Linked DNA regions of Caenorhabditis elegans. The protein of the gene in region 2 purifies or fractionates together with the protein of the main gene of each other region. This does not show direct contact. Each region holds a gene or a part of one and is shown on either strand. Other genes may lie near its edges.

Evidence for each region.
Region 1: the proteins of F17H10.1 (region 2) and gpa-10 fractionate together in Caenorhabditis elegans (co-fractionation; one large-scale study listed by BioGRID). This does not show direct contact.
Region 3: the proteins of F17H10.1 (region 2) and kle-2 fractionate together in Caenorhabditis elegans (co-fractionation; one large-scale study listed by BioGRID). This does not show direct contact.
Region 4: the proteins of F17H10.1 (region 2) and Y49G5A.1 fractionate together in Caenorhabditis elegans (co-fractionation; one large-scale study listed by BioGRID). This does not show direct contact.

What each region holds. Positions count from the first base shown.
Region 1 is NC_003283.11:6,851,975-6,856,601, forward strand, and holds gpa-10 (Guanine nucleotide-binding protein alpha-10 subunit), read right to left. Parts: upstream 2,838-4,627; 5' UTR 2,830-2,837; coding exon 2,768-2,829; intron 2,722-2,767; coding exon 2,614-2,721; intron 2,431-2,613; coding exon 2,292-2,430; intron 2,239-2,291; coding exon 2,078-2,238; intron 1,674-2,077; coding exon 1,505-1,673; intron 1,455-1,504; coding exon 1,365-1,454; intron 1,316-1,364; coding exon 1,162-1,315; intron 1,120-1,161; coding exon 1,038-1,119; intron 856-1,037; coding exon 750-855; 3' UTR 547-749; downstream 1-546.
Region 2 is NC_003284.9:13,103,229-13,109,059, reverse strand, and holds F17H10.1 (GPI inositol-deacylase), read right to left. Parts: upstream 3,820-5,831; 5' UTR 3,771-3,819; coding exon 3,736-3,770; intron 3,681-3,735; coding exon 3,541-3,680; intron 3,495-3,540; coding exon 3,361-3,494; intron 3,319-3,360; coding exon 3,160-3,318; intron 2,930-3,159; coding exon 2,693-2,929; intron 2,609-2,692; coding exon 2,516-2,608; intron 2,259-2,515; coding exon 2,061-2,258; intron 1,908-2,060; coding exon 1,647-1,907; intron 1,591-1,646; coding exon 1,509-1,590; intron 919-1,508; coding exon 737-918; 3' UTR 517-736; downstream 1-516.
Region 3 is NC_003281.10:7,939,698-7,946,100, forward strand, and holds kle-2 (Condensin-2 complex subunit kle-2), read left to right. Parts: upstream 1-2,019; 5' UTR 2,020-2,025; coding exon 2,026-2,127; intron 2,128-2,201; coding exon 2,202-2,951; intron 2,952-3,000; coding exon 3,001-3,526; intron 3,527-3,859; coding exon 3,860-4,240; intron 4,241-4,290; coding exon 4,291-4,545; intron 4,546-4,639; coding exon 4,640-4,824; intron 4,825-5,343; coding exon 5,344-5,610; 3' UTR 5,611-5,896; downstream 5,897-6,403. Other genes in the region: C29E4.10 (Putative galactocerebrosidase), read left to right, coding at 1-356, 636-733, 782-1,029, 1,073-1,159; C29E4.12 (Protein FMC1 homolog), read left to right, coding at 1,457-1,674, 1,729-1,837; gsto-1 (Glutathione transferase omega-1), read right to left, coding at 5,898-6,157, 6,208-6,334. UniProt on the Caenorhabditis elegans protein: Regulatory subunit of the condensin II complex, a complex that seems to play a role in prophase chromosome condensation and in chromosome segregation in mitosis and in meiosis.
Region 4 is NC_003283.11:5,285,816-5,289,143, reverse strand, and holds Y49G5A.1 (BPTI/Kunitz inhibitor domain-containing protein), read left to right. Parts: upstream 1-1,770; 5' UTR 1,771-1,783; coding exon 1,784-1,915; intron 1,916-2,231; coding exon 2,232-2,343; intron 2,344-2,389; coding exon 2,390-2,451; intron 2,452-2,494; coding exon 2,495-2,737; 3' UTR 2,738-2,801; downstream 2,802-3,328.

The DNA.
Region 1 (4,627 bases), on a different chromosome or scaffold from region 2:
ATTCCTCAAACCGCATTACTAAATGATGACCGTTTAACAGCATTCATGACACATGGAGGTCTTGGTAGCACAACTGAACTTGCGTATCTTGGTAAACCAGCATTAATGGTACCAGTATTTGCCGATCAAAACAGAAATTCTTTGATGTTGGCAAGACATGGAGGAGTTCTTGTAGTCGAAACGATCTTTGGAAAAGGGAACTTGTGAAAAATTCCATTTATTCAATTTTGAACGACGATCATTTTAAGAAGAACTCTAAAAAACTGGCAGAAATGTTGAGAAACCAACCAACAAATCCCAAGGAGACCGTAGTCAAATACACTGAATTTGTTGCAAAATTTGGTCCGTTCCCGGAAATGGATCCATATGGGAGGACACTTGGATTCATTCAAAGAAATCTTTTAGATGTATACCTTGTTATTATCTTTCCGTATATTTTTGGAATTCTGTCCATTTATCTTGTCGCATGTTTTTGTTTGAGAAGATGTGAAAAGTCAGGTAAAAACGATTGAACATTTTTCTTCTAAAAGAGATTCGAATAAATATGTATGTTCCTTTAATCTTATTTGGTTCTCACTTTACACTGAAAATTAGTACAAATTTTCATCAGAGTTTCAGTCACGATAAATTTCAATCAATAAAAAATGACACCACTCAAATAGAATAGGGAATAATTATTACTAATCACACACGTTGTTTGAGGCAGATACTAAATTGAAGAACAATAATTTGTGCAGAGCGATTGGAGTTCATATCATTCCCGTATCTTTGAGATTATCTTGAATAACTGTATCTATCACTGTATTGATGATTATTTGAACTTGATCCGATATTGCACATGTTTCATGGGTGTACCTGTAAAATTACGTTTTTGAAATTTACATTTTATTTTCTAGTACTGTTAGTGTTCCATACTGGCACAAAAAAGTCAAAAATATCCAAGAAGTCGAATACGTTCAGAATTCTTTTAGTTTGTAAGTTCATAGTTAGATTTTCAAAAGTGCAGTAGACACAAAACTGTAGTCTCAAAAACTCACATTCTTTTTTTGAAGTCCGGGTGAATCCCTTCTCTAAATTGTCTCCGAAAGAACTTTGTACCTTCTGAAACTGTGTTTGCTCCTGAAACATGAAACTATGAATTCAAAAACTTGGAAAACAAACCTTCAAATTTTGGAAAGTAATCCTTAATCTTCACATGTTTTACTTTCTCCTCGAACAAATCAATTTTGTTCAGGAAAAGTATGACTGCCGCTTTTTTGAAAAACTTTCCATTAAAAACTGTCCAGAACAATCTGATGGATTCATGCATACGGTTCTAAAATTTAATTTTTCGTTTCAATTTTGTGGCTGTTTGGAAAAATTACCGTCTCTTCATCCTCCGCTAACTTCTGATCAAACTCGCTAATAGCCGCTACAAAAAGAACAGCGTCAGCCTCATCGAAAAAGTGATACCACTGAAATTAAATTCTCAATTAGGAAACAAAGAAATAGTTAAATTTCCAACTTTTCGTCTTTCAGATCGTTGTCCACCACAATCGCAAATCATCAATTTGATATTGTTCATAATAACTTCGACTTGTGCAACTCCCGTTGTAGGTACCCGTATGTGAACAATATCCTGATTTGTCGGTTCAAAGCCTGGCAATTTTATACGGTCGATGTTGTCGAAGAAACTGAAAATGAATTATTAAGTTCAAATAACACAATTTTGAGATAATTTAATGTAGTTATTCAATTGATTTTTTATTGCAAAATTTGCCTGCTAGAACAAGAACATAAACAAGTTAACATCATAGACTTCAGCGATCACTATCACAATTTTTTTTTTCTAGACCTGTTAATTACATGTTCCGTTAGACCAAATGACAGATACACGAACAATGTCTGTAGTTTGGTTTTATTTGTGAACGAACAAACATATACATAACTCGAAACATTTAAATAATAACTGTGTGACATAAAAGAATATTTTAAGAAACATTTCAGACATTTTTGAAACGTGTTTTTGAATCAATTGAAACATTTTTCTATAATTCTAACTATGAATGCGCTACAAGTTTCCAAAAAAAAAACTCACTACTTGGCACTATCTGTCAAATGAAATGTGTCTCTCTTGGAATACGCGTCCTGTATTGCACTGTTTCCCCAGAATTCCTTCAGTGTATCGGCGAGTTCAGGTCTCATTATTCCATCATGAATTACCGCCATTTTCAGTTCTTCGCACATCACAGTATATCGCTAAAAGTTTTTAATTTGAAACCTAATAAAACCCGAGAGGTCGCAAAACTCACTTTATCATCGTCTTCCGTCATCTCCAAAATATATTCTCTGACGTATTCTAACAACATCTCAGAAAATTGACATAAATTCTGTATAATTAGCACTTTTCGTTCGTGTAGTTCTGTCTTTGTGTAGTTTCCAGTCATGGCTCTGAAAATAGAATGTTTGGCTACCCATATAACAGGAAATATAATAGTTATTAATTAATTTTCAAACTGTAAACAGAAAGAAACAGACACAACTCCCAAGGTATAATCAGAAACCTATTTATTTTCCCGTTGTTAATTCAAAATATTAGGTCATGTACAAGAATTATTAAAAAATCAAATATACCTCATCTGTTTCATGACAGTACTTTTTCCACTTTCACCAGGCCCCAGTAGAAGAACGGTTTGCTCCAATTGCATGTTTTTCTTCTTTTCGAGCTGTTTTTCTATTTCTCTGAAATATTAACGACAATTATGAAACATGTAACTCAAAAACTGACTTGTTAACTTTGATCTGATCCTTCATCTCGTCAGTGAGTACAAATGACTGACAGACCCCCATGTTTCCCTGAACATATATTGAAATTTTTGAAAGAACAAAAATAATTCAAAGATTATGACGATTATGATAGAGAACGCAAACTTTAATTATAGGATGCCAGCGAGATTCAACTTAGACAACGAGACAAATGAAATGACTAATCAGAAAAAAAAAAACAAAACATGTTGTCATGCCAAAAAAAAAGTTTCAGAAAGCTTGTCGAGACAAACTGAACAGACTTTTCGGCAACGAAAATGTAGATTTCACACCGGAAATAAAGTCAATTTCCACTGTATTGCTCAGAGAGAATGTACAAGTTTCGTCAAAAAAAGTTACTATTTTCATGAGAATTTTCAAATCCATCAATGCAAGAGAACATTCCTTCAAAAAAAATTATTTGAAACCCGTATTTCAAAGCCGCGCGACAAACTGAATATGTACCAAAAAAAAAAAATAAATAGATACGTAACTCGGGATGAAACCAAACTCGTTGACTAATTTTCAAAAGTCATCAACACTAGAAACGACAATATAATTTCGAAAGAACTTGTTAGACTTAAAGAGAGATAGGTAAATCCTAAATTTCAAGACCTTGTGTGACGCCATAATTTTCCATGAAAAAGCAACATGGTAGCACGTGAAGAACATAGTTACTTTAGATTTGTAGATTTGTACTTTAGATTGGGATGTTTTTTTCTTTAACACAAATTGTTTTTTGTCTCAATGTTAAAGATGAACCAGTTTTTCAAGAACGTTCAAAATGACATTTGGAAACTTTCTCTAAAACCACAGATTTTGGTTCACCGAAAAACATCTGAACACTTTTTCACTACCCGTCAAAGTCAAGAAATATTTAAATGAAATGGCGATAAATTACATTTTTGTTTGAAACCAGTTGTAATCGTTATGTTCGCAAAATTTTTCCGAAAAGCGCATGAGCTCAACACAAATTTAAAATCACATAGGCTTAAAAGTCGTGACAACACAAAAATGTAAAAAAAAAGTTGTGGAGAACACGAGAGAAGAAAAGGGAAAAAAGCAAAGTTATGATTAAATGAAATGAGAAGGAAGGTAGTGATGATTAGCGGCGGTCCTCTCCCCCCGGTTTCCTTGACTACCGCAGATTCCCAATTAAGCCTCTCTGTAACAAAGAAACTAAAAGGTGAATAACAAAACAAAAACACGAGAACAACTTCTGACTTGCATGTTGAATGAAATACACTCAAAAATCGCGAGACTACTTGAGCGTGGGAATGATCAAAAAGAAGGAAAAAAGATAATGTGATTGTTGGTTGTGTATTTGGGTTAGAGGGAGATATATTTATATTATCAATCAAAAAAAAACAGAATACCCGATGCTCTATAGGGAAACATTTATGTTGCTATGGTTTTATGATAGCTGGTCAGAAAAATAGATAGATTAGAAAAGCGTTTTGAAAAAGAGAGAACTACGCCAATTGAGTAAAGTTTTTTAAACGACACGCAAACGGAAATCGTTAGCTTTGTTGTGAGTTAAACCGGAAACAAGTTTATCTGGTCTTGATATCAATAATAACACTGGGACCAAATCTCAAACTTCACTAGCTAAAATAATAAAAAGTAAATGAGTTAAATGTCTTTGTGAGTCTGAAAACGAATAAAAGCGGAAAGATTATTGCAAAAAAATTATGTTCGAACTTTCTGATATTGAATTATTCTTGCCGAATCATGCACCACAAGATGCCAAGATTAAAATAAAATCAAGCCAAATTCGGAGTTCGTTCATTTTGTATGAAATATTGGAAAGACCGGAATTAAACATTGATAAGAATGATTTTTG
Region 2 (5,831 bases):
GTTTCGCCCTGTTTCTGATTTTGTTTCTTCTATCTCCAATTTCTTTCACCTTCTCGTTAAAACATAAAAAGGGGTAGACGAGACAAGAGCGTGGGGGTATATTTTTGTACACATGCTCTACTACATACATACCGATGGCGTGGGTTTTTGCGGGGTGGCATTATTTTACAAATCATTATTGGACTATGTTCAGCTTTAGGTTTGAAACGTGTTTTTCAACTGCCAAGCCTCCTCTACGCGCGCATATCTAAACCGTTTTATGTCTCTGTTTCTTTTTTTTTTCGGCTGTCACATCACAAGAATGGAATTTTTTATTTTATTGTCCGCTGAAGGGACGGTTCTATCTATCCACAGAAAAATGAAAATGTGGTATTGAATTCGAGAATAGGAAAATATTGAAATACATCTCTCCATCCATTACTTTTTTTCGTGTGAATGATTCTATAGTTATGGTTCAATAAAGTTTGTTCTCAGTCAGGTACAATCCCCTTATTGTTTGTTGGTGAAAAAAACATTGAAAAACCAAATATTTATGCAGAAAAAGGTCAGAAAAAGTCAGAAACAAGGAAAGAAAAGTAAAAAAAAATTTCCTAAAACATGATATCGGGAAACCGTAAAATTTTCTCAAAATTGATGGCTCGTTCAAAGGAATTTTCGATGACGGAACAGGGATACAAAGTAGTAACTCTCACAACACAAAAAAATCTACAAAATATGTACAAAAACTATACAAAAGCTAAAGTTTTTTCCGCTTGTCACTTTCGCGCAGGCAGTCCTGCAAAAAATTGATAATGACTCCATAAGAAGCGCTGTCCCGGGTGGGCTTGCACAGATTCAGATGGACATCCGCAATATGATACACGGCTCCTTGCTCAAATACTGCCGATTTGTTGGGAACGACGATGCTCTTGGCGTTGGCTGGAATTCATTATGCAATTGGAAAATGATCAGTTTTTGGAAAATTTGTTTTATCAGCGTAAATATTTATTTTTTGGCAAGTGGTCTTTGGCAACAAAAACAAAGTTTTGTTTAAGATTTTAGTTTTGTTTTGTCATTCATTTCTCAAAAGTTATTTTTTAATTTCTTAAATGTAACAGAAAAAATGAAGGAACTAGAGCAAAAATTGTTGCAAATGAAACTCCTCGCAGGGAATCCTAGGCAAATGTTGCGCTCAAAATTGTTTATCTCCTCCTGAACAAAATGCTTTTGTAGCGAAAGTTTTGTCATGATAAAAAATTCAGAAAGGCCTAAATGGATTTTCAGTATACCTATACGATTTTTCATAACTGTTTTTGACACTGCCGTTTTAATAAAATCTGGAATGTGTTCTGTTTTTAGAAACAGAAGCTGCTAACTAACCAGGAACAATTATTTTAAAGTTCTTCACTTTATAATTTGCGAGGGGTTTTGAAATTTAAAATTGATTAACGTATGCAACAGACTCTCAAAAATCAAAATTATTACTGAGCATTTGAAACACTCTTTTAAATCGTTTTCAAAAAACTCACCAATAATATTCGACTCCACGGTCTCCACCATACTAACAATAACCGGAATCTCCTTGCTCACTGCCGAAAAATCTTCGTTCAGCTGAAAATGAATTTTACGACTTAATTTCAGAAAATAATGAATATTTAAAAGCTCACTTTTCTATTAATCGCATTATTCTCATTGAGCATCCGTACGTCTTCAGTTGGTTGAAACACTGAATATCCCCAGTTTGCGACAGGACTTCCCTTGTGTGGTGTCGCAATGAACAACACTCCAACAGTGTTTTTAAGAAGATTGGTTGAGTCGATAAGCAGCTTTTTGGCGAGAAGACCTCCCATAGAGTGGCAAATAAAAAGGACAGGCCGTTTTCCTATTCCAGCTATTTCCAGTTGCTCCTTGAACCTTTCGGATCGGGTCTAGAATTTAAAAATTGGCTTCCAATACGGAACAAAATTACAAGAGTAAGATGGGAATGTTTTATTGCATAAGAAATCCCACAAAGTTTTTGAATACTTTTTTTTTATTTTTAAAAATAACCAAGACATTTTTTAAATGATTCTGCTTCTTACCTGTAAGCTCTGTTGCGTTCCGGTAAAATGGAAGATGTATGAAGGATATTCTAGTCCAATTATCCGGAAAGGCTTTTTGATATCCAACGGAAGCCAATCTTTGGGCCAACAAGACGAGAGGAGGTTTTCATCGGAATCTTTCTGCCTCCAGGTGTAGGCCACACTGCCACGCAGTCCGTGAATTAGAACTATATCTATCTGAAATTTGAAATTTTAATCGTTCATGCCAGTTGTTAAAGTTGTTCATAATTAAATTTTTCATGTGCACAAAAAAGTGAGTTGCCTACACGCTGATCAAACATAACAAAGCTAAGTTCAACTTCTGCTCCGCAAACACCTCTAGCACTTTGTATCCTCACGTGACACTTGTCTGCAGGCAGCAGGTAGTGTAAAACCTCAGTTTTTGATAGATGAAAATTCTTCTGACAGATATTTGGAACGGAAGCAAAAGTTACCTCGGGTTCTTCATCCGGTAAATACATCTCGTAAACATCTGATGATAGCCGATAATTGATGGATCTCAATGAGCTCAGCGCATTTTGACATACCTAAAAAACATTTCGTCTTGAACGTGATTTCTTTGTCATTTTAGTTCTCACAAAAAACCCCATTATCAATCAAAAAACACTCACTTTATGCGATAACAGTCGTTCCATCAAACTTTTTCCATTGGTGACCATCGTACTTATCAGTGGTAGCCATTCGGAGTCGAGCATTGATTTTGCGTACTTTTCATCCTCTCCAACAATGTTGGCTAGAATTTTGATGGCGAGCACGGCGATATCCACGTTTGAATGGTAGAACTCTGCGTAGACATTGAAAAGGAACGGGACAACGTCGACGTCGATTGCAGAGACATCAAATGTTTTCTGAAAAGTTTGGCTATATTTATAAATTTCTTTTTTGTCGCACAAAAACCTAAATGTTTAATTTTGTTAATGATTTGTTTAATTTTGCAAATTATTCCCCAAACTTTTCCAGCGATTGGCCAGGAGAACGTTTATTTTTTTGCTAATTTTTTTGACTGCAGAAAGTGTTTCTAGCAGGTTTTCGAGCAGGTTTTTCTCGAAAACAACATCAAGAATAGTTTAAGACAAACCTCTGTAGTTAAATACAGCAACTGTAACATTCTCCGTAGCCTCTCAATTTGACTTGGAAGCCGCACGAGCCACTCATCGGAGCAAGACAAATCTTCTTCCGGACAGGCAACTCGATTTATCCATTCTATGCTGCTATTCCATTTGTCGCCGAGGTTAAACTAAATTGTAAATTGTATTTTTAGATATAACACAAAAGTTACTTTTCTTAATGCTTCTGTGACATCCAACTTTTGATCTAGGCAAGACTTTATTGGAATTTTCATACAAAGCTCTGAGCCAGATCTTGCCAATAAAGCTACTGCCGCTGGATTTAACGACTTGAGGAATTCCTTGCCTGCAATGAAAATCGATAATTAGGGCAATGGGCAGATGGTCCTTACTCTCTGTGTGTTGAATGAACCGCAGAGCCTCCGATGTGTTTGTATTGACATTTAGTAGTTTGACAGCGTCATCTACAGAAAGAATTATCTTTTTGTCATTTTGATCTGGCCAATATGATTTATACACTCCATATATTGCTCTGAAAAAAGCAAGAAATGTTTTAGACTTCCTTCAAAAATGCCAAAAAAACGTACGATATGGTCACAGAAGGAATGATGTAGCGGGCCATTTGGAAGTCATTTGAAATTGAATCTGGCGCTGACTTTGAAGATTAATTCCTGCAAGTTTTGGTATCAACGGATGCGGTCAAAGAAACGCGGACAGAGTGAAACTGAATGCGGGAGAAAACAAAAGATAAGCGGGAGTATAGAGTGCAACCCCATGTCACGCCACCTCGTGGAGGGAGTGCGCGTGCGGTCGTTGTCTAGAGATTTCTAGGCCATGTGAACGCGGCCATCACGAGTTGATGTGTTGTTTGGGTGTTTTCCGGCATAGAACGTGATAAAACAATCATTTTTTCAGAAAAAAAAATTGAAGAAAAAAAATAAATAATTAAAATTGATGATCAGAAAATGTTTTTTAGATTGATTATTCACTCAATTGACCTATGGAAATTGTGAAGTTAAGAAAAAAGATTTATCATTTTTGCTTAAAAATTGCAAAAAAAAAACAATTACTTGAATTTTGGCCACCAATCGACTAAAAATATATCAACTTAAACATAGAGTAGGACCAGTGGGGAAAGAATTAAAAACCATTCTTATGATGCCAAAATGACCAAATATCATAGTGAAACTTTTTACAAATTTTGAAAATTTATTTATTGACAGTCCAAAAGTGGCAATTATTGAGTTTTTGCCATTTTTTTTTGAAAGTCCTCAATTGAGACAAATGTGTACTTTTAAATGTTAATTGAAATTGTAATCCCCACTCTTTAACAGTCAATAAAAACAGTTCAAAAAGTGATTGAAAAGTTCGACTATTTCATGTGTTCTTTTTAGCACAATAGAAGTGGGTTTTAACAGTTTCCCAACTGTCGCTTCTCTTTTGTATGCATTTCTAAAAATTTCAGAATGGAATATACTTTTTAATCAAACCTGGAGTTTTTGTACATTCAAAACTATCGTGTTAATTTAGCTTTTCTGAATAGAAAACACAATTTTTAACTTGAATAGATTTTTTCTTCGATATTGTTTAGATTCACTGAGCAAAATATAAGGGTTTCATTGATCACAGTATATTTTTCTATTTAAGTTGGTTCTAATTTCAAAGTTTTCATTCCACCTTGCATTTTGGATTGGCATACGATACCGATGAGGTTTTCCTTCTTATTCATTTTACTGACTTTTTTTAAAACCACTGATTTACAAGTTGTGTAAGTACAAAATATTCAGTGTGGTTGTATTGACACGTGTAGAAGTTCTGCCAAAATTTGTTGCACTTGTAGAACTCAAGAGACTGACGACACCAATTATCGTTTGCCTAGAAATGTTTTCCCAACTGAGTACCGCTTGCATATTACAACTTTTTTGCCAGGATACAAGTGGGAAGCCGACGAAAAAAGTTTCACTTTTATAGGAGATGTGAAAATTCAAATTGAAGTTAAAGAAGAAACTGACACAATTGTTCTGCATACAGATTCTTTGAATATTAATAATGTTCTTTTGCACAATGCATGTGTATGTGCAAATTTGAAAAATCTGATTCAATATTTTAGGCTGGCGATAACGTCACTATTAGCCATTTGAACACAACATACGACTTGCAATTTGTGACTTTTTATTTAACAGGAAATTTGAAAACAGACAGCAGACCAATTCTAAGTATTCATTATATGGAAAAATTGGAAAAATTCGTGAGGATGGTGAAGGGTATTATAGAACAATATCGCCAGGATTAAATGAAACTACGATGTAAGACAGTATATTCACAGTCCTTCAAAATAAAAGTTCAGGTACAACGCTGTGACACAGTTTGAACCAACAGCGGCTCGTTTCATGGTTCCGTGTTTCGATGAGCCGGAGTTCAAGGCGATTTGGCATGTCACTGTGGTCCATCCAACCGGTTCAACTGCTTTGTCAAATGCTAAGGAAATAGATAATACAAAAACTAACGATGACTTTTCCACCACAGAATTTGAGTCAACATTGAAAATGTCGTCCTATATTTTGGCAATTTTTGTCGGTGACGTTCAATTCAAAGAAGCGGTAACCAAGAATGGTGTTAGGGTAATATGCCTTTTAAGCTTTTCTTTACTATGTATTAGTTGTTCTCAGATTCGAGTATACTC
Region 3 (6,403 bases), on a different chromosome or scaffold from region 2:
AAATTCTCTGAAATTCCATCATTTCAAGGATTAAATATGTCATTAAACTTTGGACCTTCAAAGTTCTTTTCAAAATCTGTCAATTCTACAATTACCATTCTTCTTCCTGTTAATTCATTTGGAATACTCACTACACTTCCAGTTTCAACTCCGAAAAGAGTTACTATAAAAACACCATTGGTTCCTTTGAATTATCACGACGACTTTGAAAATTATGAATTCGACGAGGAGCCAAAGTTTTGGATGCCACAAAAAGGATCATGGGTGGTACGAAATGGACGGGCGGTACAGAAAGTGACACGCCCATCAATTAGTTGGTGCACCTCACACATTCGAACTCCATATGCAGTTATGGCGTAAGAATTGATGACTTTGACCTATGAGGAACTACAGTATACCGTATTCCCTCTAATATTTTTACACCTCTTTTCTCAACTTTGGCAGCTCATATCTCAGTAGTAGTTTGTTCTATAGAAAAGTTGTCAACTGATAAAAATTTAGATAGATGTTTTTTCTGTAGTTTGTAGTTTGTTAATTATTTATATGTCCAAAAAGGAGATATGAGGTGTCAAAGTTGAGCAAAGGGGTGCAAAACTAATAGAGGAAATACGGTATACGGTATTCCTTCCATTTAGGTATCGAAAGAAGAATAGTATTCTAAACGCCGAGGTCAATATTCCAAAACACTCAACAGCTAAATCCATCATTCTAGGTATAAGGAGTAATTGTAGTGGTATGTAATTAGTGTTGTGATTCATATTAAAATCTATTACATTTTCAGGATGTGACATAGAAGTAATAAACTGTCGTGGAATATTTGTTGAGATTGAATTTTCAAATAAAAAAGTAACTATATTTTCCGATTTCGTTGACCGTTCAATAATTGCTGAATTCAAAGCACGAAGAAAAGTAGAATTTGGAAAGTTTTATAAATTCTCAATTCATTTACTGGACTCGCATCTCTTCATAAAATTCGGAAATCATCATGTGATGACTTCAGTGGAAATTCCAGAAGAACAATTAAATAAGGTTATTAAAATAATCAATTGAATTTCAAATATAATGTTTTCAGACAAATAATGACACTTTATTCGTGATTGGCACTGGAAATTTTGGCATCTCCGAATGGGATAATATTTCAACAGATTATTTTCACTGAGGCTGATTAATTACATTCAAAAAGTATTTAATATTGCTTGGGCATGTTTCTATTAAAATAAATGTACCATTTTATAATTTACCACATTATTGGAAAATGTCAAAATCAATTGCCACAAAAAACTAGATTCAAACTTCCGCGCAAATGGTACCGCAACGATGCTCCGCGTTTCGCTAAACAACGCGCGCCTCACGCGCGCAGTTTGAATTGAGAACGTTTTCCTGTTTTCTTTTTTTGTCTGAATTGTGTTATTGTGCTATTTATTATCCCTTTTTTGTACATTTTCAAAATTAAAGTATGGCCTCTGCTGTTGGAAAAGGAGTGACCGCTTTCAACACCATCAAAAACATCATTTCGGAACTGAAAAAGGTCGACAAAACATTCTCCCCGAATTCGGCACAATATAAATACCTCATGGAGCAAATGAAAGCCGACCAGGTTACAACAAGAAGATATTCAAAAGCCGAGAACGAGTCAGAGAGCGTTGCAAAACTCTATTTGAGCTATATTAAAGGGTTCGTTTGTTTTATGAGAATAAGAAAGTAATAATCAATATCCATTCATTTTAGAACCCGACAGCTTAATGAACTTCAAGAGAGATATAAGGGTGGCGAGAAGAGTGTTGAAGAGGCTGCTGCTATTGTTGGATTGAAACTTCCAGAACAAAAGAAACTTTAAAATACTTAAAATTGTTATTTCTTTCTCGAATAGATTAGATTCCTGTTTTCTTTTCAATCAAAATAAAATACTTCGTTTTTAAAATACTATTCAGGTTTTTTATAACTTCCTTATGGTTTTCGTACCATTCTATATCTTTTTTATAGTTAATCATCGCCAGAGCATTGGAATTGTTGTTTCAGGTACAAATGACTAGGAATGCTCCTCCAGGTCAAGAATCGACAGATTTAGCATGGCTCGTCACACCCGCAAAAGATCTTGTCGAGAACTTCTCAATCGACGTGTTGAAAGTAAGGATAATTTTTTTTCACGGTTGTATCTTTTCTTTTTCGGTAAATAAAATAAATAATTGCTCGACTTTCAGGCACTCGCCGGATACCTCGAGGTTATCAGACAAGAAAGTGAAGACACAGATAATCAGGTGGATGCAGCGACAACTTACAGATTGTTCGATTTTCAACGAGCATGCCGGATTATTCAAGGATCGTGTGCCGTATATGGTCGAAAAGTAGATCATGTCTATGAACTGACGATTTCAGTTGTGGATTTAGTCGAGAACAAAGGTCAAGATGATGGAAACACCGGCAGTAGACGAGGAGCTGGAAGACGGAAAAATTTTAATTTGGGATCGACGAATTACGACTTGGCTGATATCGACTCACTGAAACAGGAAGCTCTAGCAAATTTTGAGAAGACAGTAAAAGAAGAGAAAAAATCGATTGATGCAGTGAGAATGGTCGAGAATGCTGAAGTTATAGAGTCTCAATATGAGCGAAAAAGCTGTTTAGTAGCAAAGCCAACCCAGTTCATGTTCAAGCTCAATTACGGCCAGCTCAATCGTACTGATGAACAAATTTTGAATGCAAAATCTCGTCCTGATGTTATCGGAAAAGTAAAAGATTTTGAAATTAAAAAGTCGAAAGTTAAACACGATCAACAAATACTCTACTCCCATGATTGTTATCGTGGAAATTTAGACCAATTCACACTACCTGGTGCTCGTTGGATGCCAGATAATAAGGAATTGGCAGCTAATTTTGGTGTTGCTGATTTGGAAGTTGAGTTAGATTTGGAGCAAGAGCATGAGAAGATCAGTGCATATGGACCGTTTAAGGTAAGTGGTAATAATTCGATGAAACATTTTCAAAACTTGATTTCTTCAGGATCCTCTCTCTGGCCGTGAAGTTGTTCCACCTCCTCGTTGGTTCATAGAGCAAGAAGCAGTTCGTCAAAATCAAGAAATTCAATCTCGTGCCACATCGAGAGCCATCACAATTGCAGCTAAAACTCTTCGAGATTCTCAAGGCTTTGGATCTCAACCAACTCGTCTCTCACAACCATTTGTTGAACGACATCGACAGAGTAATCATTTGAATGATTTCTTGTCATTTGTGGAGGGAAGAGTTAATAAGAATCGCCCGAGCACTCATCTTACCACTGGCTTAGTTGATATGTTCGTTGATAACTTTGGATCTGTTATGCAAAACGATGAACCAAACACTAGTAGAAGACCTGATGAGAATTACGCGCCCATGGACTTTGATGATGATTTTGGTGGTGGAGGAGACGATGACGACGATGATTATATTCGAAATTTGTCCAGAAGGGATGAGAAGCGAGCACCGGCACCATGGGACGAGCTGGATAAAAATCATATTATTTGGTACACGGGAGACGAGAATCTGCCAGGTATTTGTTGAATTAATGGGATTCTTTCGGTATTTTTTAGATTATATATATATATGAGCCGTGGACCGCACCTCCGGCGCGGCCCCCGACTTCTGGAGCTGAAAACCAATTTTTCTGAAACTACCGTAATCATACAGTACTCCTACCGTAATCATACAGTACTCCTACCGTACCACCATTGTACCACTACAGTACCCCGACTATATCCCTACACTAACCCCAACTCACTATCCCTCCAGAAGCTAAAACTTCGCAGACTACAAAGACTACATAGACTACAAGCTATGGACAAACGGAATAAGCGCTTTATATATAGTAAATGATATATTTCAGTCGTTAGCAAGCCGGTAAAAAAGATCACGAAATTCCAACCAAAACCCGCTGAAATGTTGGCTAGGAAGCAACGACGTGAGGAAAAGATCAATAAGTCTCGACGAGACGAGTTCATGGAAACTCACGACTATCTGCAGGATTACTACTATTGGAGAAGTGCGGCTCGTATAAATCCGATTAAGGACTGGAAGATAGAATCACTTCGTACTGCTATTCTAGCCGAGAAGAAACGAAGAATCAAGGAAAAGACTGCAAAAATCCGAGAAGCTCGTATCCAGAATATGCAGAGAAAACGGACAGCTCGTGTGATACCCGTGGAGCAATTTGAACCGGTAACAGAGGATATTCCAACGTCTAATAGAAGAACCCTCGGAGCTGAATGTAAGAAATTTCAATTTTATGAAATTTAAACTGAATTATATTTTTTCCAGATGACGACGTAGTCGATGAAGATCTTGCTGCCGAAGTCGAGCTCTCAATGTTTGGAGGTGGGTTCGATGACGACGAAGAAGACGTGCGGCCACGTGGTGAACGGCCTCCTATGGCTCCAAACAACCTAGAATTCGATGCTCTTCAAACAGATTTTGATATTCCGCCTGCTGAATATGTTCCATTAAGATTCGAGGATATTGATGATGCCGAACTGAACAGTGTTATCAATTTACCTGGAAATTTGCTCATCGACAGTAAGTTATTTGCAAAATTTTATAATAAAATTTTAAAATTAATACTTTGAAATTGTACTCTCTCAAGTCTATCAAGTAAATTTTCTATTTACAGAAGCTTTACCATTGCTCAAGAAGTTTGCTGAAAATCGAACAGATCGCGAACAAATGGCTTACGAGATGGCTAAAGCATATGAAGATGTGGATGTTGCCGTGTCAACTCTACAAGAACATGTTGACAAATGGCATTCTCGAATGGAACCAATCCTCGAAGAAGGAGAAACTCGAAAAGAGTATGATGTATGTTTTAGAGTATTTAATCTTAAAGGTGGAGTAGTGCCAGTGGGGATTTTGTCTAAATACACTTATAGTGATTCAAAACAACCGAATATCATAATAAAACACTCCAAAAAGTTTTAGATTTTTCATAATTTCCGGTCAAAGTTTTGGCAAATTGCCAAAATTTTGAAAAATATGAGCTTTTGAGGTTATTTAAAGAAATGTCGTATGTTTCGACCCCTACAATGTTTTAATACAATTAATTTAAACAAAATTAAAACAATAAAAAATGTAATAAATTTTTTTGGTCGACTTCCAAACATATGAGTGGCAAAAACTGAGTAATTGCCAGTTTTTGACAGTAAATAAAAAAATTTTCAAAAGTTTTATCATGATATTTGGTCATTTTGGAACCAAAGGAGTGGTTTTTAACAATTTCCCCACTGGCGCTACTCCACCTTTAATATTCTGGTCAACCACAGTAATTTGAAAAGTCAAAATGTCTAAATGTTTGAATTTCTCAATTATAATAATTTTCAGGTTCACGCAGTTGGTCGTGCTGTCATTGGCCAATACGATATTGAAGGTGGCACGAAACGTTTACTAGATTTGGTTATGGATCGTCCATGGTACGAAATCAGTCGATACTTCCTTTCGTGCCTCTTTATGTGTAATGTCGGAAATGTCATGGTCAGCGAGGACATGGAACTGCCACTCGAGGAAAGAATCAACTCGATGAAAATCACACTACTCAAAAGAGATATGCATTGTGAAATGTTCAAGGAGGCTGGCGCTCTTGATGCCTAATTTATAATTATTGTTTTTTTTGCATTAAATCTCCCGAAAACCATCTTAATTTATTTAAACATTCCTCATTGTCTCTACTTGTATCTCGATTTCTGGCTATACTTTCATTTTACTGTATCAATTAATTAACTTCTAGATGCCAAGTATTTTTCTTCTGTTCGTTATGGTACTTTACTGACTGTACAATAACTTTTTTTCCGACGAATTACCACTATTTCTTTGATTGTTTTTTAATTACGTCCTTCATTTTTTATTCAATCTTAAAAATAAATCGACTGGTTTTAATATCAAAGGCCCAAATCATAATTCAATTCCTGGTGCGTGGCATATGCGTTCATGAATGCAGCGCCATGTTCCAAAGATTGGGTGACGGATTGAACAACATCTGAAGAAATCATTTTCTGGAACCATTTTGTCAATTTAGGATATTCTTCTTCTCCTGGGAATTCAATTGTTGGTAAATCGACAACTCCATCCAAACTAGCTGACCACCAAATTTTCTCAAAAAATGGAAATGATAAGTAGTCTGGATAACCTGGTTGAGATCCTGAATAGTTTGAATTTGGTCAAAAAATTGTATCGATTAATTGAACTCACCAGCATAAAAATCATTGGCCAAGAGATTTTCAGCTTGTTTCAAAACTTCAAAAACTTTTCGCTGCTTTTCATCTTTCAAAGTTCGGTCTCGCATGACGGCGAAGAGCAATGGAACTGCATGGGCTACCTGAATTGCTTATTTAAAACAAAATAGTTTAGAAAATAGAAAAATTCAAGATCATATTTGAATTTCCTC
Region 4 (3,328 bases), on a different chromosome or scaffold from region 2:
TTCCCAGAGAGGAACATTGCAACATTTTCGTTCAGTATGTCATGAATTCTTCACTAAATAAGCCATCTTCACTAAATAAGCCATGGTATCAAGGAAGTGTAGATGATAAGTGGAAAAAAAAAGAACCGGACGATGAGAAACAAGAAGCAAAAAAACGAGAAAATGAGAAGAGTGTATGTGTGTCTTTTGAAAATGAGCACTCTTTTGGAGCACAGGCAGAGCAAAGTGGATTCTGCGCTGGGAAAACACCGACTAGGCAAAGGCAGATAATCAAATTGACCCCATAGGCTAATAGTAGCTGCTTTTCGCAATAGAGACTTGACTATAATGATTCGTTTTTTTTTGTTTTCTATTTTATTTTTTGGGTTTTGGTTTTCTATTCTGACGTTCTAAATCAAAACCTTACTTTTCAGTTTTTTTTTGAAAACATACAATTACCAAAACTTGAACCCAACAACTCAGAAAGAGTTGCCATAGCACATATTCAATCAACGGCGAACAAAGTAACAAGTAACAAAATTTTGTTATTTTTTGCGGAGAATTTCAGAGAAAAGCAACTGCAACGAAAAAAGTAGACGTCGAAGTGACATGAAAAGCAAATAAGGAATCGGAAATTTGTGAGTTTAGCTGGGGGATTACAGAGGATATATTAAAAAAATTTTAGGAACAAACTTCGCATGAACGGAATAAACAAGCACGTGGACCGGAGAATTTAGGTTACTCGAGGTCTATTCTCAAATAAGGCTTTTGAGTTGGGTTAAGAAATTAGAAAATTATGTCCAAGAGATTTCCCAACTTTTTGGAAAAAGTGAATAGGTGGCAGAAAGAAAAATTGCGTTAGAGTAGTTTTTCATATATAATCTTGACTTTCAGATGTTTTGTAAAACATGTGAACAACTATAGGAGTTTTCAAGAAACTTTTCTTTCTGAAAAAAATATGATCACTTTTAAAGGCTTCCACATTTGGAGCAGGGATGTGCGGCAAATCTCAAAATTTGCCGCGCTCGGCAAACTCGGCAAATTTGCCGTTTTCAACAGACTCCGGAAAAATGTTATATTTTAGATGTATTTTGGAGCACCAAAGATATCACACATCTGATTTCTGAATAAGTTTCGTGAGCTGTGTCAGCTTAAACATCAAATTAACTCCATTTTGTGGAATTTTACTAAATTTTAGGGGACAAATTCAATAGTTTTGGGCAAAATTGTTTTGTCAAATTTTTGGTGTGCTGCAAATTTCGAAATTTGTCGAGCTCGAGCATCGTTGATTTGAAGCAATTTGCACTGGAAAAATAATCAGATAGAATTTTATCCTGATCACAATACTTGTCAATTTTTTGTAGTAGCCTATTTTAAAATTTCTTTTTTTCAAATGGCATTTATGATCTCCGTATTGGTAATCTCTGTGACCAGGAAGTGATTCAAAGAATCATTCACGGTGATACCAAGAGCGTTTATAAAATTTGCTGAACAGTTTTTTAGATGGTTTGGCCACACAACCATATTAATAATTGTTTTATTGGACTTTTAGGTAGAATTTCAGATTGGAAGATTTCTGGGTGTTTTGTCAGCTAGCATTCGACAATTGAAAGAGATTTACGGATTTTTCTAAACGAATCTATACTAGAACTTCAACCAAACATTATCCAGTTTGACCTTCTTCTTATCTAAACCAGGAAGTGTTGAGTATAGTCATTCGATTTCTTTATCTCTCAACGTGTTTATCCATTTCTCCAGTAGTATAAAACGGTGATCATTTCAATTATTCTGTCAATTTTGCAAAATGAATCTTCTTCTTACCTTTTTGGCTACTATTCTGTGTGTCAGTGAGTTAGTCTCGACACTTCAACCGGAGTGCAAACTTCCATTGGACATGGGAAAAACACCATGTAAAAATGGAAAGAAGGAGATAAGAGTGAGTTTTGATTTTTCAAAGCTTTCATGTCGCTTTTTTTTGGAAACTTTGGAATTTTTGGAAATTGGAAAAAAATATAGAAAAACATTGGTACTTTCTGAAAATAGCTATACGTTTAATTGAAAATTCCGAGAATTTGCTCAAAAACTGACTCAAAAGTCAACGTGCCGAAATAACACTGAGACTGTAAGTCTTTTCAAAATTTCAACTTTTCAAAACTTTCAACAAAAGCAAAATTATTTTCAGAAACTAAACATATTTCTCAATATTTTTATTTCATAAAATTCATAAAGTATAAAGTCTTAATAATTTACAGTACCACTTTGACCAAAAATCCAATATCCCATTGGCTTTTGAGTACAGTGGATGTGGAGGAAACAAGAATAATTTCAAAACTGAGAGTGAATGTCGATTTACATGTACTGGATGTATGTTTTTTCATTTGAATTTTTTACTTTAAACCAAAGTATTTAGATGATCAATCGGGATGTGCCGCTGGAAGTAAGCCAATAAACGATAAAAACTGCCAAACCGATGTAAGTTGCTCCATGTTTTTGAAAAAATCTGTAAAAATTCCAGGAAGAATGTGGGCCAAAAGGTATCTGTAGGTACTCTAATCATATTAATATTTGCTGTGACAAGAAGATTGAAAAGTTGATTGAAGCTGATTATGAGCCAAAATGTCCAAAAGGAAAGAAAGTTGCAAAAATTGTCGAGGGTGGAATCCCTACAACGATTGTTGGGAAGAGTTGCAAATCAAAGTTCTGTCCAGCTGGAGCAACCTGTGTGGAGGGAACATATTTTGCCACTTGCTGCAATTAATTATTTTCGGCCGTGCATGTTTATCTATATAAACTTTTTTATTAATGAATTAATATAACTAATATAACCTTTTCCAAACAATTCGTCTGAAATCTTTAGATTTTCGGACTCCAGCAAATATACAAAGCTATCGATTTGTATATGATATCCCACTGTTTTAAATGAAAAATTTAATGTAGAAGCATATTATAAAAAACCAGCCGTTTGCACGTGCTCCGACTGGCGTACGGTAAATTGTTTTAATAAATTTTAAACTGCTAATGTAAGATTTTTGTACAGTCAACACTTTTCCTGGAGTTTTGCGGAATTTCAAGAAAATTCTAAAACTTTTCCAGAGTTTCTAGAAAATTCTAGAACCATCCTGCTTTTTATGTAAAAAGTCCTAGAAGGGACAAATTTTAAGCGCTTTCAGAATTTAATTACAAAAATTTCCAGGTGCCAGAAGCTTTCAGTTTGATCAAAAAAACTAAATTTCATGCAATATGACCGCATTTTTTTATTGGGAGATTTACTACGTTTGCATTACTTTAAAAATTAAGACTCTGGCCGTTCACCAAAATTAGTGACTCTGGCCGTTCACCAAAATTAGTG